Anolis sagrei: one gene and its partners. The protein of the gene in region 2 interacts with the protein of the main gene of each other region in a pairwise test. Links are inferred from orthologs where the notes say so. Each region holds a gene or a part of one and is shown on either strand. Other genes may lie near its edges.

Region 1 (6,876 bases), on a different chromosome or scaffold from region 2:
CCATTACACCGTTGTCTCAAAACCACGCGGTAATGAGAGCAGCTGGTCTCACAAAACCCTCTTATAGTGCCGATGCAACGGGGATGTTGGGAGAGGAGAAGCTGACTACCCACGAAAGATTACTACTACTACATCAGCTCTAGATTATGAAATATGGTTTTCTGTGAGCAAGCACATGGAGACTACTGAATGGCATATGTTCTGTATCAGAAACTAATTGATCTGCACTTCAGGTAGTGAAGTCAATTAAACTGTTTTTAATAGATATGTAAACTAGGATTCTTCATAAAAGTTAGAGACAGTAAGAACAGAGGTAAACAGCTTTACCAGTAGATTGTCTCCATCAAGGAAGTCACAGCCTTGAATTCGCAGGGTCCTGAGCAGAGTTACTGATCACAGAATGTCTTGTGGGTCTCTTATTCTTAGGGTTTCCATTGATGTAGATATTTGTTATCCTGTGCCTTCAAGACTTCTCATGGTGTTTTCCTGGCAAGATTTATTCAGACAGTGTGATTTGCCCAAGTGAGTTTCCATAGTTGAGAAGGCATTTGAATTCTGATCTCCCAGAATCCTAGCCCAGCATTCAAACCATCATGTTGACTTTTGGTTAAGGCAATTTGATGGCAATAAAGATCAACAATGTAAACTGTAGCGAATTGTTACTCTATATGAAATTTTAGTACATAGATCTATGTTCGCAGGGGGCAGATAAGGAAGATTAGAGACAAGAGAGGATAGCAACAGAGGGACCGGATTTATTTGCATATGGAGGCTGATTGGTCATATGCAGATTAGCATAGCCCCAGGATTTCAAAAGGTTGGGAGACAAAATGACAGTTGGGAAGAGCAGGGCCGAACATTCTAAAGGGGCGGAGTTAAGTTCAAAAAGGAGGGGAGTTAGAGAGAGAGTTTTAAAAAGAGAGTTAGTTGAGTAGGGATTGCAGTTTGAGAAGGACAGAGAGTTAGGGATTCCTGTTCATGAATGGTAGTTAATAAATCCTGTTAGAAAAGTAAGCCGCTAGTCAAATAGAGTACAAGTTTTGAGAACTTAAAGAAAAGCCAGTGGTGCTTGAATCGGAAAGTAATTTTAGTCCTGTATGTGTAAAGCAAATACCATCTTGATAAATGAGAAACATTGAAAGCCTATTTCAGGAAAGTGCAACAAGTATACTATATGTGACTGAAACTTAAGTTTGCAACAAAAATAGTAATTGTAACTACAAACATTGGAGCCTGAAGTGTTTGAATAAACTTGTTACTTTGTTTCATACAAGAGAGACTCAAGCCTGTGATTTCCAAGCCAAGAGGCTTCTGCTTTATAACACTCATAGCAATTCAGATATTAAAGATTTGACCGAGGACTGCATATAGGTGCATGCTTCTTTACACCAATTGGTGTCCTCCCTCCCTGGTGTTACATAAACCAAGAGTGTAGGGGTGTTTTATGCTACAACTGACTGTATTTGTAACTTTATATTTTTAAATTATGATGTGTGTTATTTTGTTTGTAAAGACTGGGATGAATTGGGAGTCATATAATATGACAGAAACATGTGTACATGTTTTGGCTCAACCTTCTAGGCTACACTCCATTTGGACAACTCAACAATACATTATACTTTCAAGAAGGCCTCAATGAGACCAGCAAGCTTCACTTCCCATCACCATAATTTATTTACATAGTGTCAACACTGCACATGTGTTACAAGAAAAACAACAACGAAACCAGTTCTTGCCCTCAGGCTTACAATCTAATTGAGACATGACACAAAAGGAAATGATGACAGCAATGTGGGAGGGGATTAAGTCTCATAGCTTCACTCTACCCGCAGCCAAGGGAGGGTTTTTGATCTACTTCTGGGCCTAGGCATGATAGAATTGTGCCTGCTTCATTTCTCTATCCTTGAACAGGACAGTTCCAATTTGTTGTGTTTCTAGACTCAGCCACTATGAAGTTCTCCAGTCAGGGCAGTGGCAGCTGGGATGGATGGAGGTCCTTCATTTACTTCTTGGTTCAGGAATTATAAAGTTCTGCTTTCTCCTCCTTCCAGAGTCAGGGCAATGGCAGTTGGGATGTGTTTACAGGCTCAGCCACTATGAAGTTCTCCACAGTCAGGGCAGTGGCAGCTGGGATGGATTGAGGTCCTTCATTTGCTTCTGGGCTCAGGCATTATGAAGTTCTGCCTTTATTCCCTCCACAGTCAGGGCAATGGCAGTTGGGATGTGTTTACAGGCTCAGCCACTATGAAGTTCTCCACAGTCAGGGCATTGGCAGCTTGGATGGATGGAGGCCCTTCATTTGCTTCTGGGCTCAAGCATTGTGAAGTTCTGCCTGTATTTTCCTCGTCAGGGCAATGGCAGTTGGGATGTGTTTCTGGACTCAACCACTATGAAGTTCTCCAGTCAGGGCAGTGGCAGCTGGGATGAAAAGAGGCCCTTCATTTGCTTCTGGGTTCCGGCATTATGAAGTTCTGCCTGTAACTCCCTCCACAGTCAGGGCATTGGGAGTTGGGATGTGCTCATAGAATCATAAGACTTGGAAGAGACCTCATGGGCCATCCAGTCCAACCCCCTGTCAAGAAGCAAGAAAATTGCATTCAAAGCATCCCTGACAGATGGCCATCCAGCCTGTTTAAAAGCTTCCAAAGAAGGAGCCTCCACCACACTCCGGGGCAGAGAGTTCCACTGCTGAACGGCTCTCACAGTCACGAAGTTCTTCCTAATATTAAGATGGAATCTCCTTTCTTGTAGTTTGAAGCCATTGCTCCGCGTCCTAGTCTCCAGGGAAGCAGAAAACAAGTTTGCTCCCTCCTCCCTATGACTTCCTCTCACATATTTATACATTTATTTTTATGTTGTGTCAGGAGCGACTTGAGAAACTGCAAGTTCTCTTCTGGTGTGAGAGAATTGGCCGTCTGCAAGGACGTTGCCCAGGGGACGCCTGGATGGTTTGATGTTTTTATCATCCTTGTGGGAGGCTTCTCTCATGTCCCCGCATGAGGAGCTGGAGCTGATAGTGGGAGCTCATCCGCCTCTCCCCGGATTTGAACCTGCGACCTGTCGGTCTTCAGTCCAGCCGGCACAGGGGTTTAACCCACTGCGCCACCGGGGGCTCCTATATTTATACATCATGTCTCCTCTCAGCCATATCTTCTTCAGGCTAAACATGCCCAGCTCTTTAAGCCGCTCCTCATAGGGCTTGTTCTCCAGACCCTAAAGAAAGATACTTAGTCCATATCTATACTTATCAGAAAAGAGGCTCCAGAACTGTTCTTATGCAACATCAGAAGCACCCCTTCACAGGGCATGTTGGGCCAGGGGCACATTGAAGCTGCTGCTATTGCCACCACCAGCAATTATGTCTATCATGGCTCCTCTCAGCCTTCAATTCTGAAGACTAAACATGCCCAGCTCTTTAAGCCGCTCCTCATGGTGCTTGTTCTCCAGACTCTTGATCATTTTAGTCGCCCTCCTCTGCTTGTCAATATCTCTTCAATTGTGGTGCCCAGAATGGGGCTCAATATTCCAGGTGTGGTCTAAAGCTCTGCCTGCCTCTTCACATTTTCCTCCCAGAGTTGAAAGAGGCCACAAGGGCCTCCACAGTCAGGGAGTAATAAAGGAAGGCCTTTTGTCTCTAGGCTTAGAGAGGCCTGTAGGGAATCAGGCTGCTTCCTGTCCAAGCCATCCATCCACCCCACTGTCCCTTGACCTCGCCGGATTCTGACTTTTCCGGCCGCGAGGGGCGCATGCGCGGGCCAGCCGTGCGCTCGCGACGAGGGGAAGGGGGCGGGGCCTGGCGCCGAAAGCCGCGCGCTGAGTGGCTGCGGGGCGCGCGCAGGCGAGCGAGCGGATGTTGTGGCGGTTGTTGTTGTTCCTGCGGCCCGCCCCCCTCCGCGGGATCAGGACGGGCGCTTCCTGCCGGCCGCGCTGAGGGCGAGGAGGAGGAGGAGGAGGAGGACTGCGGAGGCTTCTTCTCCGGCCGAAGGAGCGGGAAGGCAGAGAGCAGCGGCGGCGGCGCCTGGCTGGGTCTTCCCGCTCTCTCTCTCTCTCTCGCTGGCGGAGGCTTCAGGGCCTGCCTTCCGGCCCCGCGCGGCTCCTCGGCCGGGCCCCGTCGTGGCCATGGCGGACTTCGACGAGATTTACGAGGAAGAGGAAGACGAGGAGCGGGCCTTGGAGGAGCAGCTGCTGAAGCACTCGCCGGACCCGGTGGTGGTGCGCGGCTCCGGCCATGTCACTGTGTAAGGAAGGGAGGGAGGAAGGGGAGGGAGGGAGGGAGAGGAGAGGAGGCCTGGTCCCGACCATCTTGGCCCACGACGAGGGAGGCCTCTGACCTTCAGCCTAGTTCCCCTTTCGGAAAATGTAGGCTAGGGGTGCATCTACACAATGGAATGAATGCAGTTCAGTACCACTTTTAATTGCCATGTCTCAGAGCCAGGGAAGGCTGTGTTTCGGTGAGGCCCCAGCAGTCAAGGCTTAGGGCCCTTCCACACAGCCCTATATCCCAGAATATTTGCTTTGAACTGGATTTATATGGCAGTATGGACTCATAACCCAGGGCCCTTCCACACAGTCCTGTATCCCAGAATACCAAGGCAGAAAATCCCACATTATCTGCTTTGAACTGGATTTATATGTCAGTATGGACTCAACCCAGGGCCCATCCACACAGTCCTATTACCCACAATATCAAGGCAGAAAATCCCACAATATCTGCTTTGAACTGGATTTATATGGCAGTATGGACTCATAACCCCGGACCCGTCTACACAGTCCTATTACCCATAATATCAAGGCAGAAAATCCCACATTATGTGTGTCAAACTGGATTTATATGGCAGTATGGACTCATAACCCAGGGCCCTTCCATACAGTCCTGTATGTCAGAATATCAAGGCAGAAAATCCCACATTATCTGCTCTGAACTGGATTTATATGGCAGTAGGGACTCATAACCCAGGGCCCTTCCACACAGGCCTATATCCCAGAATATCAAGGGAGAAAATCCCACGTTATCTGCTTTGAACTGGATTTATATTGCAGTATGGACTCATAACCCGGGGACATTCCACACAGTCCCATTACCCACAATATCAAGGCAGAAAATCCCACAATATCTGCTTTGAACTGGATTTATATGGCAGTGTGGACTCGTAACCCCGGGCCCATCCACACAGTCCTATTACCCACAATATCAAGGCAGAAAATCCCACAATATCTGCTTTGAACTGGATTTATATGGCAGTATGGACTCATAACCCAGGACCCTTCTACACAGTCCTATTACCCATAATATCAAGGCAGAAAATCCCACATTATGTGTGTCAAACTGGATTTATATGGCAGTATGGACTCATAACCCAGGGCCCTTCCATACAGTCCTGTATGTCAGAATATCAAGGCAGAAAATCCCACATTATCTGCTCTGAACTGGATTTATATGGCAGTAGGGACTCATAACCCAGGGCCCTTCCACACAGGCCTATATCCCAGAATATCAAGGGAGAAAATCCCACGTTATCTGCTTTGAACTGGATTTATATTGCAGTATGGACTCATAACCCGGGGACATTCCACACAGTCCTATTACCCACAATATCAAGGCAGAAAATCCCACAATATCTGCTTTGAACTGGATTTATATGGCAGTATGGACTCATAACCCAGGGCCCTTCCATACAGTCCTGTATGTCAGAATATCAAGGCAGAAAATCCCACATTATCTGCTTTGAACTGGATTTATATGGCAGTGTGGACTCGTAACCCAGGGCCCTTCCACACAGCCCTATATCCCAGAATATCAAGGCAGAAAACCCCACATTATCTGCTTTGAACTGGATTTACATGGCAATATGGACTCGTAACCTAGGGCCCTTCCACACAGCCCTATATCCCAGAATATCAAGGCAGAAAACCCCACATTATCTGTTTTGAACTGGATTTACATGGCAATATGGACTCATAACCTAGGGCCCTTCCACACAATCCTATATCCCAGAATATGAAGGCAGAAAATCCCACATTGTCTTAGTGTGGACTCAGATAACCCAGTTCAAAGCAGATATTGTGGGATTTTCTGCCTTGATATTCTGGGATATAGGGCTGTGTGGAAGGGCCCTTGAAACTACTGTTCCCATGAATCCATAGTGTTGAACCATGGCAGTTAAACTGCATTTATTTATTTCTATCCCATCCTTCTCCCTACAAGGGGACTCAGGGCGGCCTTAATAATAATAATAATAAAATAAACTTTATTTATACCCCGCCACCATCTCCCCAAGGGAATCAGAGCGGCTTACATGAGGCCAAGCCCAACAACACATCAATAGAAACAAAAGCAATAAACAAAAACAATAAATACAATACAATTAATATAAATCACATATAAACAATAACCAATAAACAGTAAACACAAGGATTTTAAACCTATGGCCGGGCCAAATATAATAGTTTAAAATTTTAAAAAATAAACGCTGGGCATGAACAAGGTAGGATATATCTGGTATAGGATTTTAAAAGAGATGAGGGAGCGCAGTCAATCCTAAACCAGTAGTAAAGTGCATTCTGAGGACATATTGCTGTGAAATTTTCCTTATTCTGGGAAGGCACACTGGAACAGCCACGTTTTCAAGCTCCTCCTAAAGACTGTCAATGTTGGGGCAAGCCTGATATCCTTGGGAAGTGAGTTCCAGAGTGGGGGGCCACCACCGAGAAGATCCTCACATTAGCATCAAGTGATGCAATCCAGATATATACCAATGAAATTACAATTAACACAATAAAATCCATTTAAGACATTATCCAGATTCAACAGTCAATTCATTAACAGTAAATTAGCGTCTCAATACACCAAATCCAAGCCAGGAGAGTCCAGTATTG
Region 2 (7,849 bases):
TGATAATAAAGTTTCAAGCCGGCCTTCCTTGAAAGTGTTGGGTCCCGTCTCTCAAAGAAGGCCGCTTGAAGCGCATTAGATCCGTCTCTGTATAGACTGAGCCTTCCTTCAACTGTTTTGATTTTTCTCAAAGGAAAAAGCAGAAGCAAACTCCTTTTGAAGGCGTCAAACCGATCTCATAATTTCCCAAAGTCTTGTCCTCGCGCAGTTTTGGAAAAACACACATCCACACAACCAACATGGCGGCTTTCTAGGGAAACTAGAAGTGTTAAGAAGGGAGTCAAGGAAGGAAGGGGGGGTTAAGGCATGGGGTGATTCTTCCTCCCTGTAAAGCCCTGGTGATGCTTCCCATACAATCGCCGAGGGGTTTCTCGGAGGGACAATGCGGGCTGCTGAGGGAGGGAGATAGGGCCATTATTTTAAAAAGATAATTGGATTAGAAATCAAAACGAGATTCCAAAAAGAAAGAAAGAGAGAGAGAGAGGAGAGAGAGAGAGAGTAATTAATTGAAAAAGGGGGACAGAAGGGCAATTAGAAACCGCGAGTGGCTTAAAAACAAAACGGGGTCCTTTGAAATCCACAGAGATCCCGACGAAGGAGGAGGAAGTTTGGGTCCAGTTTTGGGGCGATTATTAGGAAACTCACTCGTGTCGCTGCGGGTTTTAGTGCGGCGAAAGGAAAAGGCGCATCCAGGCTCCTTAAGGGCTGCGAAGAAGCGACGGCATTGGCTTTTCCTGGAAAGAGGGAAGAAAGGGAGGAAGGGGGGGGGGGACACAAGAAGAAGGACACGGATCGCATTATATTGTATTACAAACCCTATCAAGTCGCTCCTGACACGGGGGAAAAATAATCCTTGACTAGGAAGGGAAAGTCGTGCCTGAAACGACGCCAACATCCCCAGAAACTGCGGAAAGAGGGGACAAAGGCCGCATCCACACAGAATACTCAAGGCGCTTTCGAACTAGCCTTCTGCAGGAATGGAAAGGTCCGATGATGCGGGTGGAGGCTTTCTAAGAATGGGATTTATTGAGACAGGCAGCCGAGATGGAACCCCAAAGAGTAGGAAAAGTGGGGTTTCAAGGAGGCGAGGGGACAAGAAAGTAGACCTGTTGCCGCCTCTCTCTTTCCCCAGAAGGAAGGAAGGAAGGAGGGATGTGACTGGGGAAATGGCCCCGATCCGCCCTCTTCCACCCCGCGCCCCGCTTGGAAGTGCAATAATATGCTCAATGCTGACCCGTACCACGCACAATGTGGGTAATATGTGGTAAGATAGGTCAGGAGCACTTTCCCGGAAGCAAGGCCTTCCTTCCTCGTGTTGTCGTGGCTGGAATCACTGGGTTGCTTTGAGTTTTTCAGGTTGTATGGCTATGAACTCACAGCAGCCTTCTTTCCTCCTTCCCTTCGCTCTTTCCTTCCTTCCCTTTTCCTTTTCTTCCTTCCTACTTTCCTTCCGTCTTACCTTTCTTCCTACTTCCCTTCCTTCCTTCTTCCCTTCGCTCTTTCCTACCTTCCTTCCTTTTCTTCCTTCCTACTTTCTTTCCTTCTTACTTTCCTTCCTTCCTAATTTCTTTCCTTCTTACTTTTCTTCTTTCCTACGTTCCTTCCTCCCTCCTTCACTTCGCTCTTTCCTTCCTTCCTTTTCTTCCTTCCTTCTTACCTTTCTTCCTACTTTCCTTCCTTCCTACGTTCCTTCCTTCCTTCTTCCCTTCGCTTTTCCTTCCTTCCCTCCTTTTCTTCCTTCCTACTTTCTTTCCTTCTTACTTTTCTTCTTTCCTACTTTCCTTCCTTCCTACTTCCCTTCACACTTTCCTACCTTCCCTCCTTTTCTTCCTTCCTACTTCCCTTCCTTCTTCCCTTCACTCTTTCCTACCATCCCTCCTTTTCTTCCTTCCTTCCCTTCCTTCTTCCCTTCACTCTTTCCTACCTTCTCTCCTTTTCTTCCTTCCTACTTTCCTTCCCTTCTTCACTTCGCTCTTTCATTCCTTTTCTTCCTTCCTACTTTCCTTCCTTCTTACTTTTGTTCTTTCCTACTTTCCTTCCTTCCTTCTTCCCTTCGCTTTTTCCTTCCTTCCCTTCTTTTCTTCCTTCCTCCTCCCCTTGGCTCTTTCCTTCTTTCCCTCCTCCTTTTCTTCCTTTCTACTTTCCTTCCTTCCTTCCGTTCCGGCCTCGCGCTGTGCTTCCAGCAGGGCCGCAAAGCTAAGAGAGAGCGAGCGCGCGCGTGGGAGGGAAGAGGGCTCGAACCTCCTGGGACCCCGTCCTTCCTTCCTTCCTTCCCTCCCTTTCCTCTTCCTTTCCTTCCTTCCCTCTTTCCTTCCTATCCTTTTCCTTTCTTCCCTCTTTCTTTCCTTACCGCTTCCTTTCCTTTCATTCCCTTCCCTCTTTTCTTTCCTCTTCCTTTCCTTTTTCTTTTCCTTCCTTTCCTCTTTCCTTTCCTTCCTTTCCCTTCCTTCCCTCTTTCTTTCCCTCTTTCTTTCCTTCCTTCCTTCCGCCCGGACTCCCCCTCGCGCGCGCCCTTCCGCGCGCCTTTCCCCCCTCCGGACCCGACCAGAGAGAGAAAGTTTCAGGAAAGTTTCTATAGAAGGAGGAGGGGGGGGGTAGCTGGGGCAGGGAGATTGAAAGACGGAGAGAGAGAGGTCTCTCTGGGAGCCGCACCTCCAGCAACGGAGGGAGGGAAAAGTTGGCCTCCTCCGTGTCCGCCGCTCCGCCCGACGCCGCTGCTCCCTTCCTCTTCCCCTTGCCCGGACTTCCTTCCCAGGAGAGGCTCGGACTCCTCCAAAGGGGGAGGGGAGGGGGGGAGTGAGGGAGGGGGGAAGGGGAGGGAGGGGGCAGAGGGGGGCGGGGAGGGAGGGGGGCGCCTCACCTGTCCGCGCGAGAGGGAGGGGGGCGCCCCGACCGGCCCCGCGCTGCCTCTCTCTCTTCCCACGGAAACACCTCGCTCGTTCTTCAGATTCCCTCCAAGCCGCAGCCTCCCTTCGCCCGCCCAGCTGTTTAGCTGATAGGAAATGTCGCCCGGCGAAGATTGATCACCTTTCCCGGGCCCTCCCCGGGTATGTGAGCGCCGGGCGGAGGCGGGACCCGGGACGGCGCCAATGGGCGGGCGCGGGAGCGCCGAGCGACAGCCGCCGGGGCCAATGGCGGCGCGGGACGGGGCTCCCTCCCCCAGGCCACGCCCCGCGCCCCGCCCACGCTCCCCGGCGGCGCCCTCGGGGCAGGTAGAGCGGGGCAGAGCCGGGTTGGGGCCCCCAGAGGACATCCATGCGCGCCAAGGTCGGGGTCCCGCTTCTATCTATCCTGAGAAAGAAAGAGGACGGAGGGTAGGGCGGGCAAGGCTTCTGATTCCAAGAAAACTTTTCTGAGGAGCTCTCCAAGGAGAGAAGCGTGTGAAACAAGAGTAGGAACCAAACATGGACTGATCAGAAAGCAGGAGAGAGAGAGGCGGGTTCCTCCTCTTTATGGAAGCATCTTCCACATTGTAAACACTCACAAATCCGTGTCAGAGCCTCAACACGGAGCTCAGAAAAGGGGTCGGGACCCCCCGTTTCCCGTTTAGACACAACGAAGCAGACAGGACCAAGGCAGATAGGATGATGATGATGATCCGTTTTGATATCCTCAGGTTCTCTCTGCGAGGAAATCACCTGTTTGTGTATGTGTGTGTGTGTGTGTGTATACTAGCCGTCCCCATCCACGCTTTGCTGTGGCCCAGTCTGTGTATACGTGTTTCCTATGTGTATATATGCGTATATGTGGTTTTGCGCATGAGTTGTAATGTATTTTTTCATATTTTTGCCTTTTTAAGTCTCTTCTGTTGTGTTTTGCAGTGTTTTTATGAGTGATGGTCACTCGTTGGCTTGATGGGTGTATTGTGTCCAAATTTGGTGTCAATTCATCCAGTGGTTTTTGAGTTATGTTAATCCCACAAACGAACATTTATACACACACACACAAAGGTGATTTCCCCGTATGTATGTATGTATGTATGTATGTATGTATATGTGTGTGTGTGTGTGTGTGTGTATATATAAATGTTCGTTTGTGGGATTAACATGAGTCACACACACACAAACCACTGGATTAAATTTCCATATATGTGTGTGTGTGTGTGTGTGTGTGTGTCTCTCACATACACAAACCACTGGATTAAATTTCCATATATATGTGTGTGTGTGTGTGTGTGTGTGTGTCTCACACACACAAACCACTGGATTAAATTTCCATATATGTGTGTGTGTGTGTGTGTGTCTCACACACACACACACCACTGGATTAAATTTCCATATATGTGTGTGTGTGTGTGTGTGTGTGTCTCTCACACACACACACAAACCACTGGATTAAATTTCCATATATGTGTGTGTGTGTGTGTGTGTGTGTCTCACACACACAAACCACTGGATTAAATTTCCATATATATGTGTGTGTGTGTGTGTGTGTCTCACACACACACAAACCACTGGATTACATTTCCATATATGTGTGTGTGTCTCTCTCTCACTCTCTCTCTCTCTCTCTCTCTCACACACACACACACAAACCACTGGGTTAAATTTCCATATATATATGTGTGTGTGTGTGTGGGTCTCACACACGCACAAACCACTGGATTAAATTTCCCCATAGATAGATAGATAGATGTGTGTGTGTCTGTCTGTCTGTCTCTCTCACACACACATACACACACAAAGGCGATTTCCCCATATATGTGTGTGTGTGTGTGTGAGAGAGAGAGAGATCCTTGGTCACGAAAAATTTGGAGAACAACAAAAGCTTTCTGAGTGTCACAAATCGTGTCAGCAACAACATTTTATCTGCGGGGGGGGGGGGTAACAACTCTTCCATCAAAAGGAAAATAATTCTGTCTATCCTGCCTTGTTATTGTTGCAAAGACTGACTTGTTTTCAGTCAATGTTTGGTTTCTATATTTGTTTTATACACCTTTATACCAAGGATCAATCACACAAACCTTTCCTTCCCTCTTTCCTTTCCTTTCCTTCCCTCTTTTCCTTTCCTTCCTACCCTTTTTCCTTTCTTTCCTTTCCTCTTCCCTCTTCCTTTCCTTCCTAGTCGGATTTATTACACTATTTTTAATTCCTGGGTTAATATGTCATTTCTTCATTGGTTCTATTATTGAAGACATGGAGAAAGTTTTATTCAATTGCAAAAAAAACCCCCATAAAAATACAAAACATACCGCTCGAGTTTTTCAGTGAATATCTCAACCAATTCCGACCTCACTACCTCTGAGGATGCTTGCCATAGATGCAGGAGAAAAGTCAGGAGAGAATGCCTCCAGAACATGGCCATATAGCCCGGAAAAACCTACAACAACCCAGTGATTCCGGCCATGAAAGCCTTCGACAATACCAAGTGTTGGTTTTGACCGAAAGACCTACAACATACTCAATTCCGACATAGTTTGTGGCAGCAAAACTGAAGTTTCTGGAGTTGAACAACTCCTTTCAAAGCAAGGGAAGCACAACTAAAGAAGAAATAATACTTTCGAAACAGGAACATGTTTTTTTCCCTGAAATGTTGTGACATATAGTGTTTTTTCCTGCTTAAACTTTCCCCTCCGCTTTTTATTTTGGAAGAGATCTGCCTCGAAGTGGAAAAGAATGGACGTTCGCAATAGTTTGTGTCCTTCATTCAAAAATCAAACGGGTCGGAAGGCATGTTTGTTTACTAGGTTGCGGTGAGTTTTTCGGTCTATATGGGCATTTCTCAGTAGCATTCTCTCCTGACGTTTCGCCCACATCTAGAGCAGGCATCCTTCCTTTAGTTTACAAACACACTTCTGAATTGTGCCTCTTCAATCCTGCCTTCCAGTCTTGAGAGAACTACAGCTGTGATTTGATGGTCTCAAGTAGTAGTGGAATTTGAATTCGGAGAGTATCTATCAAATTTAATCCACTAGTGTCTTATCGAAGGCTTTCATGGCCAGAATCACTAGGTTGTGGTAGGTTTTTCAGGCTGTGTGGCCATGTTCCAAAAGAGGCATTCTATCCTGACCTTTCGCCTGCATCTATGGCAAGCATCCTCAGAAGTTGTGAGGTAGGAATTGGTTGAGATATTCCTAACGTTTTGCCTGCACAACCTCCGAGGATGCCTGCTATTACTTACTTACTTACTTACTTACTTGCAGGCGAAACGTCAGGAGAGAATGCTTCTGGAACATGGCCATACAGTTCGAAAAACTCACTGCAACTCAGTGATTCCAGCCATGAAAGCCTTCAACAACAAATGTTTGTTTACCTCAAAATCAGCCCATGAGACTTAGAAATAGGTAGCAAAAAGTATGAGTAAAATGCGCTGGCATGTTTTTCCCAGGCTGGGATCTACACTGTCTCAGACTTGAACTGGATTATATGTGTCTACCAGCAATGTAGATATCTCACTTCTTTTCCCATCCGGGGTTATTTTGAGCTGCTTTTCTAAGTTTAATGTATTGTCGAAGGCTTTCATGGCTGGAATAATTGGATTGTTGTCGTTTTTTCCTCCGGGCTATATGGTCATCTTGTAGAAGCATTCTCTCCTGACGTTTCGCCTGCATCTATGGCAAGCATCCACAGAGGTTGTGAGTTTGTGCCAGCCACAAAAAAACCCCCCCGAAGTTTCTGGTGTAAGAACAACTACTTTCAAAGTCAAGTCCTGCACAATTACACAGGAAATAACACATTCAAACGAGGAACAGATTTTATTTTTTCGAATTTGGTGACATCGTTAAATTAACTGAAGCTAAAGACCTCCCAACCTCTGAGGATGCTTGATATAGATGTAGGCGAAACGTCAGGAGAGAGTGCTTCTACAAGATGACCATATAGCCCGGGGGGGGGGACTACAACAACCCAGTGATTAAACAGGAAAGAACACATTCAAACCAGGAACATATTTTATTTTTCGAATTTGGTGACATAGCTTAATCAACCTCAGAGGTCTCACAACCTCTGAGGTTGATTAAGCTATGTCACCAAATGTCTCACAACCTCTGAGGATGCTTGCCATAGATGCAGGCGAAACGTCAGGAGAGAGTGCTTCTACAACATAGACGGGGGGGAAAAAACCCGACAATCCTTTTCTAAGTTTGTTTAGAAGTTTTGCTTCCTTCCAACAGGTCCTTCCACCAAAGGATGTGAATCAGGATAGATAATAATAATAATAATAATAATAATAGATGGGAGTTATCTCCAGATCTACGTCTAGATAATAATAATACTAATAATACTAATAATACTAATAATAATAATAGATGGGAGTTATCTCCAGATCGGCCTACGTCTAGATAATAATAATAATAATAATAATAATAATAATAATAGATGGGAGTTATCTCCAGATCGGCCTACGTCTAGATAATAATAATAATAATAATAATCTCAAGAATATAGATAATAATAATAATAATAATAATAATAATAGATGGGAGTTATCTCCAGATCGGCCTACGTCTAGATAATAATAATAATAATAATCTCCAGAATATAGATAATAATAATAATAATAATAATAATAGATGGGAGTTATCTCCAGATCGGCCTACGTCTAGATAATAATAATAATAATAATAATAGTTATCTCCAGAATATAGATAATAATAATAATAATAATAATAATAATAATAATAATAATAGATGGGAGTTATCTCCAGATCGGCCTACGTCTAGATAATAATAATAATAGTAATAATAATAATAGATGGGAGTTATCTCCAGAGAGATACTTTGTAGCCTTTCCTAATTTTTATTATTATTATGTATCACCTGCCTCTGCTCACACAAAGGAGGGAGCGCCATATTTGAGGAGATCTGGTCCTTTTGGCTCATAAATATTAATAGGAGCTAATCCTCTCTCC
Region 3 (7,307 bases), on a different chromosome or scaffold from region 2:
TGCCCATGCCTGGTGTAGATGCACTCGGGAAGAGGAATCAAAGCATAATTGCAGCAATTTGCTGAAGCACATGGCGGGAAAGGTACTCCAAACCCCTCTCCAAATCCCCAGCCTTCCACTGAGTCAAAGCAAGCAAGGGTGCATCTACACTGTTGAACAGATGTACTTTTAACTGCCATGCCCCAAAGCTATGGAATCCGGAGAGCTGTAGTTTGGTGATGCTCGCATCCTCTTTGTCTTGTAAAACTACAACTCACAGGATGCCACAGTGTTAACAAATAAGAAAATACACAAAAAAGTATAGAAACAAAACTTCCAATTCTGGAATATACTAAAACTATCAAATATTAGAAGAATTAGGCAGTTTAAGTGGTGTCAAAGTGCATTCATTCTACAGTGTAGCTACACCCAAGGAGAGGGCTCAAAGCAGGAATGGCAGCCTTGGGAGAAAGTGCCTCTCTGAAGCAGTCAAGCAACCAAGAGTGTGTCTACACTGAGACAAGGCAGTTCAAGTGGTGCCAAACTATACTGCATAAATTCTACAAGGTGCACCCAAGACAAGATGCACCCAGGACCTTTCCACAGAGCCCTATATCCCAGAATATCAAGACAGAAAATCCCACAATATCTGCTTTGAACTGGGTAATCGGAGTCCACACTGCCATATATTCTTGACTATGTTATTGCTGTGCGTTTCGACGCTTGTTTTATATTTTGTATTGTTTTAAATTGCTGTTGATGCACTCTAATGTGCTATGTTTTAACTCTGTTATCTGGGCTTGGCCCTATGTAACCCACCCCAGGTTCCTTCAAGGAGATGGAGGCAGGGTATAAAAATACAGTAGTAGTAGTAGTAGTAGTAGTAGTAGTAGTTATTCTTATTATTCTTATTATAAAGCAGTTCAAAGCAGATAATGTGTGATTTTATTCAGCTGTGTGGAAGAGGCCCCAGACTCGGTCGGAAACCCAAAGTCATCCCCGGGAAGCCCCTAAAGCCAAAGAAGCTGCCTAAGGGCACCTGTTCGCTCATAGGTGCCAAGCCAGGCCCCTAGAGTCCATCTTGCAAGCTCTGCTGAGGCTCACTTACTTTTCGCAATGGCAACTCCGTGTGAAAGCAACCCCTAAGTTAGATCCATGGGGAGCCAGCCGGAGAGGTCGGCCTTGCCTTAAAATGCCGCAGGGCTCATTGAGAGAAGATTCCCTTTGCCAATCCTTGCTGCTGGGTTGCCAAGGGCGTCTTCTTCTTCTGGAGCAGAAAGCAATCCTGTTGCGCCCCAAAAGCCCTCTCTTTCCCAAGGGCAAACATTCAAGGAAAGAAGGCGATTGAGTTGCCTCTAGCCCTCCCTTGTTCAAGAAGAGAGGCGGCGTCCATGCGCTTCAGATCCAAGGGGGTGAAAAAGGAAGCCTTCTTTGGCTACCAGGTGGAAAAGCAAAAGGAGAGCTGGATTGAGCTTGCAAAGTGCTCTCTGGCTCAAACTCCTCCGGCATCCACACCAATGGGAGACTGTAAACAACAGCCAGGGGAGGAAGGAAAAGGGGGGCTTCTTGTGGAAAGCTGCTTGGTCTCCTTTCTCTCTTGGTCTCCTTTCTCTCTCTCTCTTTCTGCACTTCCCTTCCTTCTTTTTTGCTTTCCTTCCAAGGCGCGTGGGGCGCCTCGCTTCCTCGACTTTCCAAGCTCCTTTTTCTTGCTTCACCGCATGGTCCCTTCGAGCTGGAGCCAGACAAAGTGCCCAAGCGATGCCTGCTGGAAGTTGAAGGGGGGAGGGAGAAGAAAGAGATCAGTAAAGAGAGCAATGGACAGGTAGAAGTCACCCTTCCATACAAAAAATATATATCCAATGACTTTGTGGCAAAGCTGCCATGTGCTTTGGAGAGGGGGACGGCTTGCTTGACAGCCTTGTGGCACCCATTGGGGATTTTGGATGGGCACCCAATGGGGATTTTGGATAGGCACCCAATGGGGATTTTGGATGGGCACCCAATGGGGATTTTGGATGGGCACCCAATGGGGATTTTGGATGGGCACCCAATGGGGATTTTGGATAGGCACCCAATGGGGATTTTGGACAGGCACCCATTTTGATTTTGGATATCTGTTCTGGAAAAGGGGGGAAACCCAGACGGTGCAAACTCTGAGCAAGGCAGAAACAGAGAGATAGCACAGACATATCACTTGGGGAGGGGGAGGTCCCAGTTAGAGCAGTGGGGGCAAAGAAAGGTCCCAGTTCGAGCACATATGAGCAAACTTGGGCCTTCCAGGTGTGTTGGACTCCAACTCCCACCATTCCTAACAGCCTCAGGCCCTTTCCTTTTCCCCCTCAGCCGCTTAAGCCTGAGGCTGTTAGGAATGGTAGGAGTTGGAGTCCAACACACCTGGAAGGCCCAAGTTTGCACACACCTACTTTAGAGCCTTGTAGTAGGGAAGGTTGAGCAAGAAGTTCCCCAAGTTTAGCCTCATTTCTGGGTTTCCCCAAGGAAACATTGAGACTTCTTTGGACCTCCCCAATTTTGAGACTTCTTAAGACCCTCTCCTGGAAGCATTCAAGCCAGAAGCTCCCAATCTTGAGCCCTGTACTGGGTGGGTTCCCTAAAGCAACCCTCCCAACCTCTTAGGCTTTGTTTAGACCTAGGCTTGGAGACTGCAGAAAGGTGAAGGTCCCCGCCAAGCGCCCCCCAATCCGAACAATAAGGCTGCTGCTCCTGCTGCTGCTGCTGCTGCGTGGAGTCTCTTTCGGGAAAGGCTCCGCCTTGGCTGCACGCTGCAAGGCTTTGGGGCTCGGCAGCCTGGGCTCGGGCAGCACCTGAGCTCCTTCCCCGAGCGGATTACCGATTGCAAAGGTGTTTCCTCCCCGAGGCGCATCCACAGCAAGCTAAATCCAAGGCGGAGAGGCACCGAGGGCAGGTCCGGTGGCGGCGATCAAGCCTTGCGAGCGGCGCTGTCCTTTTGCGTGGCTCTGTTCAGAATGAGCTCAACTCGGCACGGGAACCTTTCAGCGCCGAGCCCCCCTTTCGCCCCCTTGGTCCCGCCCCCAATGATGTCAATCTGTCACTCAGGAGGGCGGCCCGGAAAACCCGGCCTGGACTCTCCCTTGCCCGCCTCCTTCCAGTGCACACAAGAAGCGCGCGCTTCCTCGCGCTCATTCATGCCAAGGTTTGCTTACCATTCATCAGGATTTCTTCATCGCACCAGAGAAGAAGGAGAAGGAGGAGGAGGAGGAGAGAAGTAGAAGGAGAAGAAGGAAAAGAATTGGACACAATATCAAGATTTCTTCATCTCACAAGAAGAAGGAGGAGGAGGAGATAAGAAGAGAAGGAGAAGGAGAAGAAGAGGACACAATATCAGGATTTCTTCATCTCACCAGAAGAGAAGGAGGAGGAGGAGAGAAGGAGGAGGAGAAGAAGAAGAGGAAGAAGAAGAAGAAGAAGAAAAGAAGAACTGGACACAATATCAAGATTTCTTCATCTCACCAGAAGAAGGAGGAGGTGAAGAGAAGGAGGAGAAGAAGAAGAGGACACAATATCAGGATTTCTTCATCTCACCAGGAGAAGGAGGAGGAGGTGACAAGAAGAAGAGAAGAGGAAGGAGAAGGAGAAGGAGAAGAATTATTTGGCACAATATCAGGATTTCTTCATCTCACTAGAAGGAGGAGGAGGAGGAGGAGAGAAAAAGAGAAGGAGAGTAGTAGTAGTAGTAGTAGTAGTAGTAGTAGTAGTAGTGGACACAATATCAGGATGTCTTCATCTCACCAGAAGGAGGAGGAGGAGAAGAGGAGGAGGAGGAGGAGGAGGAGGAGAAGAAGAAGAATTGGACATAATATCAGGATTTCTTCATCTCACCAGAAGAAGGAGGAGGATGAGGAGAGAAGAAGAGGAGGAGAAGAAGGAAAAGAATTGGACACAATATCAGGATTTCTTCATCTCACCAGAAGAAGGAGGAGAAGATAAGAAGAGAAGGAGAAGAAGAGGACACAATATCAGGATTTCTTCATCTCACCAGAAGAAGGAGGAGGAGGTGACAAGAAAAAGAGAAGAGGAAGGAGAAGAATTATTGGGTACAATATCAGGATTTCTTCATCTCACCAGAAGAAGGAGGAGGAGGAGGAGAGAAGAAGAAGAGGAGGAGGAGGAGGAGGAGGAGGAGGAGGAAGAGAAGGAGGAGGAGGAGGAGGAGGAGGAGGAAGAAGAGGAGGAGGAGGGAAGAAGTAGAAGGAGAAGAAGAAGAAGAATTGGACACAATATCAAGATTTCTTCATCTCACCAGAAGGAGGAGGAGAAGAGAAGAAGAGAAGGAGGAGAAGAAGAGGACACAATATCAGGATTTCTTCATCTCACCAGAAGAATCAGGAGGAGGTGAGAAGAAGAAGAGAAGAGGAAGGGGAAGAATTATTGGGCACAATATCAGGATTTTTTCATCTCACCAGTAGAAAGAGGAGGAGGAGGAGAGAAGAAGAAAAGGAGGAGAAGGAGAAGAAGTAGTATTGGACACAATATCAGGATTTCTTAATCTCACCAGAAGAAGGAGGAGGAAGAGAAGAGAAGAAGAAGAAGAAGAAGAAGAAGAATTGGACACAATATTAGTATTTCTTCATCTCATCAGGAGGAGGAGGAAGGGAAGGAGAGAAGAAGAAGAGAAGAAGAAGAAGAAGAAGAGGAAGAAGAAGAAGAATTGGACACAATATCAGGATTTCTTCATCGCACCATATTGTGTCCAATTCTGGGCACCACAATTGAAGAGAGATATTGACAAGTTGGAATGTGTCCAGAGGAGGGCGACTAAAAAGATGAAGGGTCTGGAGAACAAGCCCTATTAGGAGCGGCTTAAAGAGCTGGGCATGTTTAGCCTGAAGAAGAGAAGGCTGTTGAAAATGTCCACATGCTTATGAATTTCAATGGCTTCTCTGTGTAGTCTGGCATGGTGGTTTTTAGAGTGGTCCAGCATTTCTGTGTTTTCAAGTAATATGTTGTGTCCAGGTTTGTTCTTTCACACTTGTCTCAAATGGACAAGAGTTATTTCTCCCACCCTGGACACTCCATAGATATATAAACCACTCTTGCTGAGTTTCCAACAGACCTCACAACCTCTGAAGATGCTTGCCATAGATGTGAGTGAAACATCAGGAGAGGATGCTTCTGGAACATGGCCATATAGCCTGGAAAACTCACAGCAACCTGGTGTATTCCTTGTTTCGATTATTTAGACACTGAAAGCTTTAAAGTGCCTATCCAAGAGTGACACATGACACCTTGAGGACTCTGATGCCTTCCCTGAGAGGACAATGAGCACTGAAAAAGAGGATGGATATTGTGTCGTCGAAGGATGGATATTTCTCCACTTTCAAAGTGCATGAATGCAGTTTGACACCACTTTAACTGCCATGGCTCAATGTTATGGGACCCGGGAGTTATAGTTTGACGAGGTACCAGCACTCTTTGGTAGAGGTGGCTAAGCACCTTTGCAGAACTGCAACTCCATTAATCCATTTCACACAGAGAGGGAAGTTAAAGTGGTGCCAAACTGCATTAATTCTACAATGTAGATGTACTATCGGTGTTGGGCTGTAACGGGAAGTGTATCCAACAATGCATATTAGTTTTTCTAGAGATTTGTGGTTTTAAAAGGACTGCCAAATAGTACTGCCAAATAGTACTGGTGCCTAATCAATGGGTTTAGATTGACGGTGCAATTGGTTTAACCCCTGTGTCAGCAGGACAGCTGACCGAAAGGTCGGCAGTTCAGATCTGGAGAGTGGGGTGAGCTCCCATCTGTCAGCTCCACCTTCTCATGCAGGGACATGAGAGAGTCCCCTGCGCAACGTCTCTGCAGGCAGCCAATTCTCTCACACCAGAAGTGACTTGCAGTTTCTCAAGTCTCTCCTGATGCACACACACAAAATCAAATTACATTTCCTAGGATTCCCTAGCATTGAGCCAATGCAGTGAAAGTGGGGTCAAACTACATTAATTTTCCAGCATAGATGCATCCTAGGATCAGGTTATCTGGAAAACTGATTTTACACCCACACAATCCTTAGAAAAACTATTCCACAGCCAAAGTGCCGTAAGTGTGAAAACCCTTTGCCTAATTCTCACCTGCCTCTTTTCATATCCAACCCACATAGAGGAGAGAGCCTTTGAAGAGATTCCTAAATATTAAGATAGGTAAATGTGGTGGAAATCGGTTTTCCAGATAACCTGATCCCGATCTGTTCAAGGGATTGCCAGCACTTTCAACTGGAGCCCAAAATGTGAGCCACTGCAGCTGACAAAATAAAGGCATCATATGGTTGCAGTGTCCAGCCAATAATCTTGCCGTCTTATTCTGAATCAACTGGAGCTTCTGGGGCATTCATTTGAAAAGCAAAACCACATGCAATGCATTGTAGTAGTCCAGATGGGATGTTACTTATCCGTAGTAATGTGTAGTCTGATCCTCTGAGTCCTAAATGTATTCAGAAGTCTTTAGTGCAACGTTTCTCTACCTTCCTAATACCGCGACCCCTTAATATAATTCCTCATGTTGTGGTGACCCCCAACAATAAAATTATTTTTGTTGCTACTTCATAACTGTATACTTTGCTACTGTTATGAATCGTAATGTAAATATCTGATATGCAGGATGTATTTTTATTCACTGGACCAAATTTGGCACAAATACCCGAAACGCTCAAATTTGAATACTGGTGGGGTTGGGGGGGGGGATTGATTTTGTCAGTTGTAGTTGCTAGGATTTATAGTTCACCTACAATCAAAAGCATTCTGAACTCCACCAACGATGGAATTGAACCAAACTTGGCACATGGAACTCCCATGACCAACAGAAAATACTGTGGACTCAAACAATGATGGATCTGGACTAAACTTGACAGGAATACTAAATATGCCCTAATGTGAACATTGGTGAAGTTTGGGGAAAATAGGCCTTGACATTTGGGAGTTGTAGTTGCTGGGATTTATGATTCACTTACAATCAAAATGCATTCTGAACCCCAGCAATGATAGAATTGGGCCATACTTGGTACTTGGAACTCCCCCTGACCAACAGAAAATACTGGAAGGATTTGGTGGGCATTGACCTTGAGTTCTGGAGTTGTAGTTCACCTACATCCAGGGAGAACTGTGGACTCAAACAATGATGGATCTGGACCAAGCTTGGCACGGATACTCAATATATGTGAACATTGGTGGAGTTTGGGGAAAATAGACCTTGACATTTGGGAGTTGTAGGTGCTGGAATTTATAGTTCACCTATGATCAAAGAGCATTGTGAACTCCACCAATGATAGAATTGGGCCAAACTTCCCACACAA
Region 4 (7,338 bases), on a different chromosome or scaffold from region 2:
ACACAACAACACACTCACAAAACGGCAAAACAACAAAACTCAAAAATCCCCCAACGAAACGTAACTAAAATCCCCGTGCCCATAACATAACCCACAAGAAACAAACATATCTACTCAAAATGAAAAACAACACAGCAACACACTCACAAAACGGCAAAACAACAAAACTCAAAAATCCCCCAACGAAACTTAACCAAAATCCCCGTACCCATAACGCAACCCACAAGGTACAAACATATCGACTCAAAATGAAAAACAACACAACAACACACTCACAAAACGGCAAAACAACAAACTCAAAAATCCCCCAACGAAACTTAACCAAAATCTCCATGCCCATAACACAACCCACAAGGTACAAACATACCTACTAAAAATGAAAAACAACACAACAACACACTCACAAAACGGCAAAACAACAAAACTCAAAAATCCCCCAACGAAACTTAACTAAAATCCCCGTGCCCATAACATAACCCACAAGGTACAAACATATCTACTCAAAATGAAAAACAACACAGCAACACACTCACAAAACGGCAAAACAACAAAACTCAAAAATCCCCCAACGAAACTTAACCAAAATCCCCGTGCCCATAACACAACCCACAAGGTACAAACATTAGGCCTGTTTGATCAAGAAAAAATTTGTTTCTAAATTCGATTCTTAATTGGGGTGTTTTTTTGTTTCGATATTAAAAATATTTACAAAACTTACCAAAAAAATGTTTTGTTATTTACGAATTTTCGTTATTATTTACAAAACATTTTAGAAAAAAATTTTTTCTTGATCAAACAGGCTAAGTGTGAATGTTGCAGTAATGGTCACCAATGGCTTTCTCCCACCCTGGACATTCCATAGTATTAGAGATGATATATAACTCACCATTTGCCTAGTTTCCAACAGACCTCTGAGGATGCCTGCCATAGATGTGGGCAAAATGTCAGGAGAGAATGCTTCTGGAACATGGTCATATACAGCCCTGAAAAGTCACACAAGCCGGATGGCGCGCGGAGGCCGCTTGTGAGCGCGCGCGCGCCATCCAATGGGCTCCGGCTCCTGCGCCCCCCCTCCTCCTCCTCCCAGCTGGCGCGCGCGCGCTCACAAGCGGCCTCCGCGCGCCATCCGGCTCCGGTTCCTGCGCCCCCCCTCCTCCTCCTCCTGGGAGGAGGAGGAGGAGGGGGGGGCGCAGGAACCGGAGCCGGATGGCGCGCGGAGGCTGCTTGGATGGCGCGCGCGCTCACAAGCGGCCTCCGCGCGCCATCCGGCTCCGGTTCCTGCGCCCCCCCTCCTCCTCCTCCTCCTGGGAGGAGGAGGAGGAGGAGGGGGGGCGCAGGAACCGGAGCCGGATGGCGCGCGGAGGCCGCTTGTAAGCGCGCGCGCCATCCAAGCGGCCTCCGGCTTCTGCGCCCCCCTCCTCCTCCTCCTCCTCCTCCTCCCAGCTGCACTTCCTGCAACACAGCTGGGAGAAGGAGGAGGAGGAGGAGGGGGCGCAGGAGCCGGAGGCCGCTTGGATGGCGCGCGCGCGCTCACAAGCGGCCTCCGCGCGCCATCCGGCTTCTGCCACGGTGCACTGCTGGGGTGCTTGGGAGCGCCGGATTGGCTCCCAGGCTCCAGCACTGCAGCACCACTCAGCAGCAGCCTCCATGCCATTAACGACACGAGCTGAAGCTCGTAAAATACATGGGGCTGCTGCTTCGATATTTTTAAACCCTTCCGGGTTTAAAAATATGTTTTGATATCGCGTCGGATATTAAAAAAATAACGATTAAAAAACGAAAAACGAATTAACGAAACAAAACCGACAGGCCTAACAAACATATCTACTCAAAATGAAAAACAACACAACAACACACTCACAAAACAGCAAAACAATAAAACTCAAAAATCCCCCAACGAAACTTAACTAAAATCCCCGTGCCCATAACACAACCCACAAGGTACAAACATATCTACTCAAAATGAAAAACAACACAGCAACACACTCACAAAACGGCAAAAGAACAAAACTCAAAAAAACCCCAACGAAACTTAACCAAAATTCCCATGCCCATAACACAACCCACAAGGTACAAACATATCTACTCAAAATGAAAAACAACACAACACAACACACTCACAAAACGGCAAAACAACTGAGCATGCGCATTGGCGCCCAGCCGCAAGTTCCACTGCGCGCGCACATGGCCTTCCGGCCAACGTTCCCTCTGCGGAAACCATGCCCACTCCAAGCCCCACCGCGCCGCTTCCCGCACACACACACACCCTGCCGCACACACACACGCAACCCCACGCTCCATCACTCCCCCCGCCGCCGCACACACACACGCAACCCCACGCTCCATCACTCCCCTGCCCCAATCTTACCTCCTTTTACTTCAGGCCACCTCCAAACCCCACCCCGCCCCTTCCCGCCCTGTCAAAATCTAGGAAAGACAGGAAGGAAGGAAAGAAGGAAGAAAGAGAAAGGGAGGTAAAGAAAAAGGGGGAAGGAAGGAAAGTTAGAGGAAGAAGAAAAGGAAAGAAAAGGAAAGATGGAAGGAAAGAAAAGAGAGACAGCAGAAGAGAAAGAAAAAGGGGGAAGGAAGGAAAGAGATAGAGAAAGAAGAGGAGAAGGAAAGATGGGAAGGAAGGAGGGAGGGAGGGAGGGAGGGAGGGAAAGAAGGAGAGAAAGAGGGAAGATTGGCCACAGCAACACGTGGCGGGTAAAGGTTGCTATTTCTATTATTATTATTATGCTATTGTTCCTCTGAGACCCTTTTAGGGGGAATGGGAGAGGTGTCAGGTCCCGGAGGCAATGCATTGCATTATTGTTATTGTTATGATGGTGGTGAAATAAAAGGAAATAAAAAGTGAAAGAAGGAAGCAAACAGGGAGGGAAGAAAGGCAAAGGAAGAAAGGGGGAGGGAATGAAGGAAAGAGAGAAGGATGAAACCAAGTAGTGAAAGAAGGAAAGAAAGAAAGAGGGAGAGAAGGAAGAAAGTAGAGAAAGGGGGAGGAAAAGGGGGAAGGAATAGGTAGGTACCTCTCTTTCATAATAGTCCAGATATCTACCTCAACTTTGATAAGTTTTACTATAGGCCACAGCAACGCGTGGCAGGGCACAGCTAGTTATTTATATAGATAGATGGAGCCAATGCCTATGAAAGGGGTGGCTCTTAAATAATCTTGCTGTATTGCCGAAGACTAGGTTGTTGCAGGTTTTTCGGGCTGTATGGCCATGTTCTATAACAGTGGTTCTCAACCTGGGGTCCCCAGATGTTTTTGTCCTACATCTCCCAGAAATCCCAGCCAGTTTACCAGCTGTTAGGATTTCTGGGAGTTGAAGGCCAAAAACATCTGGGGACCCAAGGTTGAGAACCACTGTTCTAGAAGCATTCTCTCCTGACGTTTCGCCTGCATCAATGGCAGGCATCCTCTTGCTGTGTCCAAAGGGGATTTCTCCCAGATAAGTATGGACCCTTTCAGACAGGCCCTATATCCCAGGATCTGATCGCAGGTTTTCTCTTTATCCCAGATTATCTAGCCGTGTGGACTCATATAATCCAGTTTAAAGTAGAATTAGATCCTGGGATATAGGGCCTATCTGGAAGGGCCCTGTGTCTAGGCATATACCTTTGAAAACCCAGAAGTTGCCGAGCCAATGTATATAAGATTTAACATAAATGTTTATCCAGCCCATCACGCGCGCACACATCTATATACACATTCCTGCTTAGGAAGCAAAAACCAAGCTCTTTTCCTCCTCCCTCTCTTGAGATGGGCCCCGAATCCGCTGACCCAGAGCACCAAAAACTGGAAGGAAACAGGATACAGATCTGGCTGAATGGTACACATGTCTCTTTGTTACTCCCAAGCTGCTCTGGAGGGATTTTCCAGTGGTAATATGTTTCCAATTATCCTGTTACGCTCTTTGGAGTCTATGCATTCTGACAAGGCGTCCTTTCCGTTTCCAACAATATGTCATCTCGCCCTGCTTTCCCTTCATTCCATGTTCTTCCCCCCAAAGGTGATGACCTTCATCCCCATGTTACATGCACGCTTACACATAGAGTCCGGCTAATTTACCTACATCCCAAGAGCTTGGCTTTTGCCACCTGTTTACAGGCCTGGTTTTATAAGCTCGCACGCGGCTTCATCTGGCAGGGCTGAGTTTGCTCTGGCACTGAGCTAAATATTATTAAGGCGCTCTGTGTGTATGTGTGTGTGTGTGTGTGAGTGATGAAGGGGGGGGTGGGACAGGGAGGAGGAGTTTGCAAAGCAAGGCAGTTCCAAAGATTCTGAGAAGGGGGAGAAAATTTGCCCACAACTTTGCCGGAGAAAGGAGTTGGGACTCGGAGAAGGGGATCGTATGGGCTGGACAGGAGGGCCTGATTGTTGGGGGACCGACTGCTGCTCTGCACCCCAGGCAAAAGGGGGCCCAAGAGGCACTGCCAGAATGCAGCTGACCAAGGTGTGTGGCTAAAACCCTGCTCTTTTTCTCCTTGCTTGGTTCTTCTTTACACAGGGCAGCATGGAATTACTGGCTGCGTCATTGGATGGAAATCATTCAGCCCGAGGCGCTGGCTGTTTGTGGCACAGGATGGCAAGGGGTGTATGTGCGTGTGCGTACAAAGAGAGTTGCTGGCTAGGAGCAGAGGGAGAATTCATAACCTCCCAACTTTCTGCACATTGATGAAAGTCAGAGCAGGTGTGTAAGCTGTGTCAACGGAAACCTAGTTCAGTTTTGAATCTTTGCCTGCTTTACATTAGTATTCTTTATCTACTTTGTGGCAGCCTCCTCTCGCAGTCTGTTAGTAAACGGTCTCTAAGAGTCTTTAGTACAATGCTTGATGGATATGACCAATCTTCTGACAACATAGCAGCAACTCAAGGCTAGTATACTGATGTTACTGGCAGTGATGGTGGGTTTTTTGTCGTTTTTCCTTTGTCGTGTCAGGAGCGGCTTGAGAAACTGCAAGTCGCTTCTGGTGTGAGAGAATTGGCCGTCTGCAAGGCTGTTGTCCAGGGGACGCCCGAGTGATTTGATGTTTTTATCATCCTTGTGGGAGGCTTCTCTCATGTCCCTGCATGGGGAGCTGGAGCAGATAGAGGGAGCTCATCCTCCTTTCCCCGGATTCGAACCTGTGACTTGTTGGTCTTCAGTCCTGCCGGCACAGGGGTTTAATCCACTGCGCCGCCAGGGGCTCCTAGTGATGGTGGGTGGGAGCAAAGGAAACAACACAATGAATTAATGTGAGCAAGTTGCTTAGATGTACCACTGTCAGGATGCATTCCCTGCTACTCGGACTGTAACTTTTATTTATTTATTTTATTTATTTACCTCTGAGGATGCTTGCCATAGATGCAGGCGAAACGTCAGGAGAAATGCCTCTAGAACATGGCCCTATAGCCCGAAAAAAACCCACAAGAACCTTTTATTTATTTATATGAAACTGGGTTTTTGTTGGGTTTTTTTCGGGCTATATGGACATGTTCAAGAGGCATTCTCTCCTGACGTTTCGCCTGCATCTATGGCAAGCATCCTCAGAGGCAATCTTTGAGGATGCTTGCCATAGATGCAGGCGAAACGTCAGGAGAGAATGCCTCTTGAACATGGCCATATAGCCCAAAAAAACCTACAAAAACCCAGTGATTCCAGCCATGAAAGCTTTCGACAATATGTTTATTTGAAACATTTATATTCCACCCTCCTCACCCCACAGGGGACTCAAGGCAGAGCACAACATATATACGGCAAACATTCAATGCCGGGACATACTTAGGTGATCCCTCGTAGTCCGAGGATGATGGTCCTCCAAGTGTAGTATCCTGGCAGTGGGTCTATAGGTGACTGTGGAGCCCTATTCTTGATCTGCACCTTCTCCCACAGTGAGGGCATCCAGGTGGAAGGCGGTCCCGGTCAGGGTTGGCTTGATACTATTTCACCAGAAGACATACAACTTTGAAGGCCTAGGAGATCAAAGCCATGCAGTCATTCCTTCCCACCAGGCACTGATGGGCTTCAGGAGTACACTGTGGTGCCATCTAGCTTTCTTTGCACTCCTGTAGCACATGTGTTGTGCAAGGAGGTATTGAATACCTCTGTGCATTACCCTCTGAAAGTGTGTGCATTACCCTCTGAAAGTGTGTGCACTTGGTTGAGCCACCAAGAAGATTCTATGTTTTGGAAGTGACTTTCCCAAGCTCTGAGGTTCTGTTTGTGAGAGTTGCTATTGTTGGCACTTTTCAAGTTTCTTTCAATCCCGTGGGGCTGCTGTATATTTGTTTTGTTAATACTTCTTGGCTATGATGCACATTTGTATGAATGCATGCACATGGGTTTTTAACTGTCAGTATACTATGTTGTTGTTGAGTGCCTTCAAGTCATTTTTGACTTACAGTGACCCTAAGGCAAACTTACCATGGGGTTTTCTGGGAATGAAAACATAAGTTGCCTAAGGCCACTTAATAGTTTGTCATAGCTGAGCAGGGGTTTGAACCCTGGGGTATTGTGTTGGTTTCTGAGCTGTATTACCATGTTCTAGGAACATGTCGGCTAGAAACCACACAACACCCCAGTGATTCCAGCCGTGAAGGCCTTCAACAATACATTGATTTGAATCCTGTTTTCCAGAGTTGGAATTCAGCACTCAAACTACTACACCATTCTGGTCCAGTACTGCTTTTCTACATAGCTTAGAATAGGCTTATTAAGACAGTAAAAGAGAAAAATCCTCTTATCTGAAACTATTGTGTAAGTGCAACTGGATCTACTGTAAGATTGAGCATTCTATTAAATATGCTTAACATCCATTTAAAAAGTAAAATAGTGACGGTTCATAAATAAGCACATCTTGTTTAAGAAGCCAGATCTGATAGAAGCCATCCTATTTTCCTAATGATTAGTTGGTTCTCAGTTTCCTCTTCATGTGCATGATTGCCAAAAAGGCAGATTTGCTTGGAAAAGTTTGGAAAGGTTACTTTTCTAGACTGTAACTCCCAGAAAACATGTGCTAGCACACCCAGCGGTTCTCCTCTGTTGAACACAACAGGGCTTATTTTTTGTGCCAAAGATTGCACAATAAATAAATGGTTGTTGGTATGTGCCTTCAAACTCTTTCTAACTTATGGTGACCCTAAAGTGAACCTATCATGGGTTGTTGTTATTTGTTTTGGCAAGTTTTTCAGAGGAGGTTTGCCATTGTCCTTCTCAGAGGCTGAGCAAAAAGTGTGTAACCTGGTGAGCTTCCATGGCTGAGTGAGGGTTCAAACTCCCAGAATCCTAACCCAACCCCCACCTACACTGCTCTGGCTCTCCATAAATAAATGTTAAGTTCTAACCTTTTAAAATTAAA

The links.
Region 1: the proteins of OTX1 (region 2) and CHIC2 interact in binary tests that used the Homo sapiens proteins (3 or more experiments, as listed by UniProt). The two-hybrid records come from large-scale screens. The link is inferred for Anolis sagrei from reciprocal best matches to the Homo sapiens genes OTX1 and CHIC2.
Region 3: the proteins of OTX1 (region 2) and SPRY1 interact in binary tests that used the Homo sapiens proteins (3 or more experiments, as listed by UniProt). The two-hybrid records come from large-scale screens. The link is inferred for Anolis sagrei from reciprocal best matches to the Homo sapiens genes OTX1 and SPRY1.
Region 4: the proteins of OTX1 (region 2) and TNS2 interact in binary tests that used the Homo sapiens proteins (3 or more experiments, as listed by UniProt). The two-hybrid records come from large-scale screens. The link is inferred for Anolis sagrei from reciprocal best matches to the Homo sapiens genes OTX1 and TNS2.

Annotation. Positions count from the first base shown.
Region 1 is NC_090025.1:74,480,730-74,487,605, forward strand, and holds the start of CHIC2 (cysteine-rich hydrophobic domain-containing protein 2), read left to right. Parts: upstream 1-3,837; 5' UTR 3,838-4,119; coding exon 4,120-4,238; intron 4,239-6,876.
Region 2 is NC_090021.1:152,704,651-152,712,499, reverse strand, and holds the start of OTX1 (homeobox protein OTX1), read right to left. Parts: upstream 3,040-7,849; 5' UTR 2,861-3,039; intron 735-2,860; 5' UTR 646-734; intron 1-645. UniProt on the Homo sapiens protein: Probably plays a role in the development of the brain and the sense organs. Can bind to the BCD target sequence (BTS): 5'-TCTAATCCC-3'.
Region 3 is NC_090025.1:37,237,222-37,244,528, reverse strand, and holds the start of SPRY1 (protein sprouty homolog 1), read right to left. Parts: upstream 3,005-7,307; 5' UTR 2,828-3,004; intron 1,745-2,827; exon of another isoform or gene 1,742-1,744; 5' UTR 1,088-1,741; intron 1-1,087. UniProt on the Homo sapiens protein: Inhibits fibroblast growth factor (FGF)-induced retinal lens fiber differentiation, probably by inhibiting FGF-mediated phosphorylation of ERK1/2. Inhibits TGFB-induced epithelial-to-mesenchymal transition in lens epithelial cells.
Region 4 is NC_090022.1:183,696,413-183,703,750, forward strand, and holds the start of TNS2 (tensin-2), read left to right. Parts: upstream 1-4,299; 5' UTR 4,300-4,352; coding exon 4,353-4,454; intron 4,455-7,338. UniProt on the Homo sapiens protein: Tyrosine-protein phosphatase which regulates cell motility, proliferation and muscle-response to insulin. Phosphatase activity is mediated by binding to phosphatidylinositol-3,4,5-triphosphate (PtdIns(3,4,5)P3) via the SH2 domain.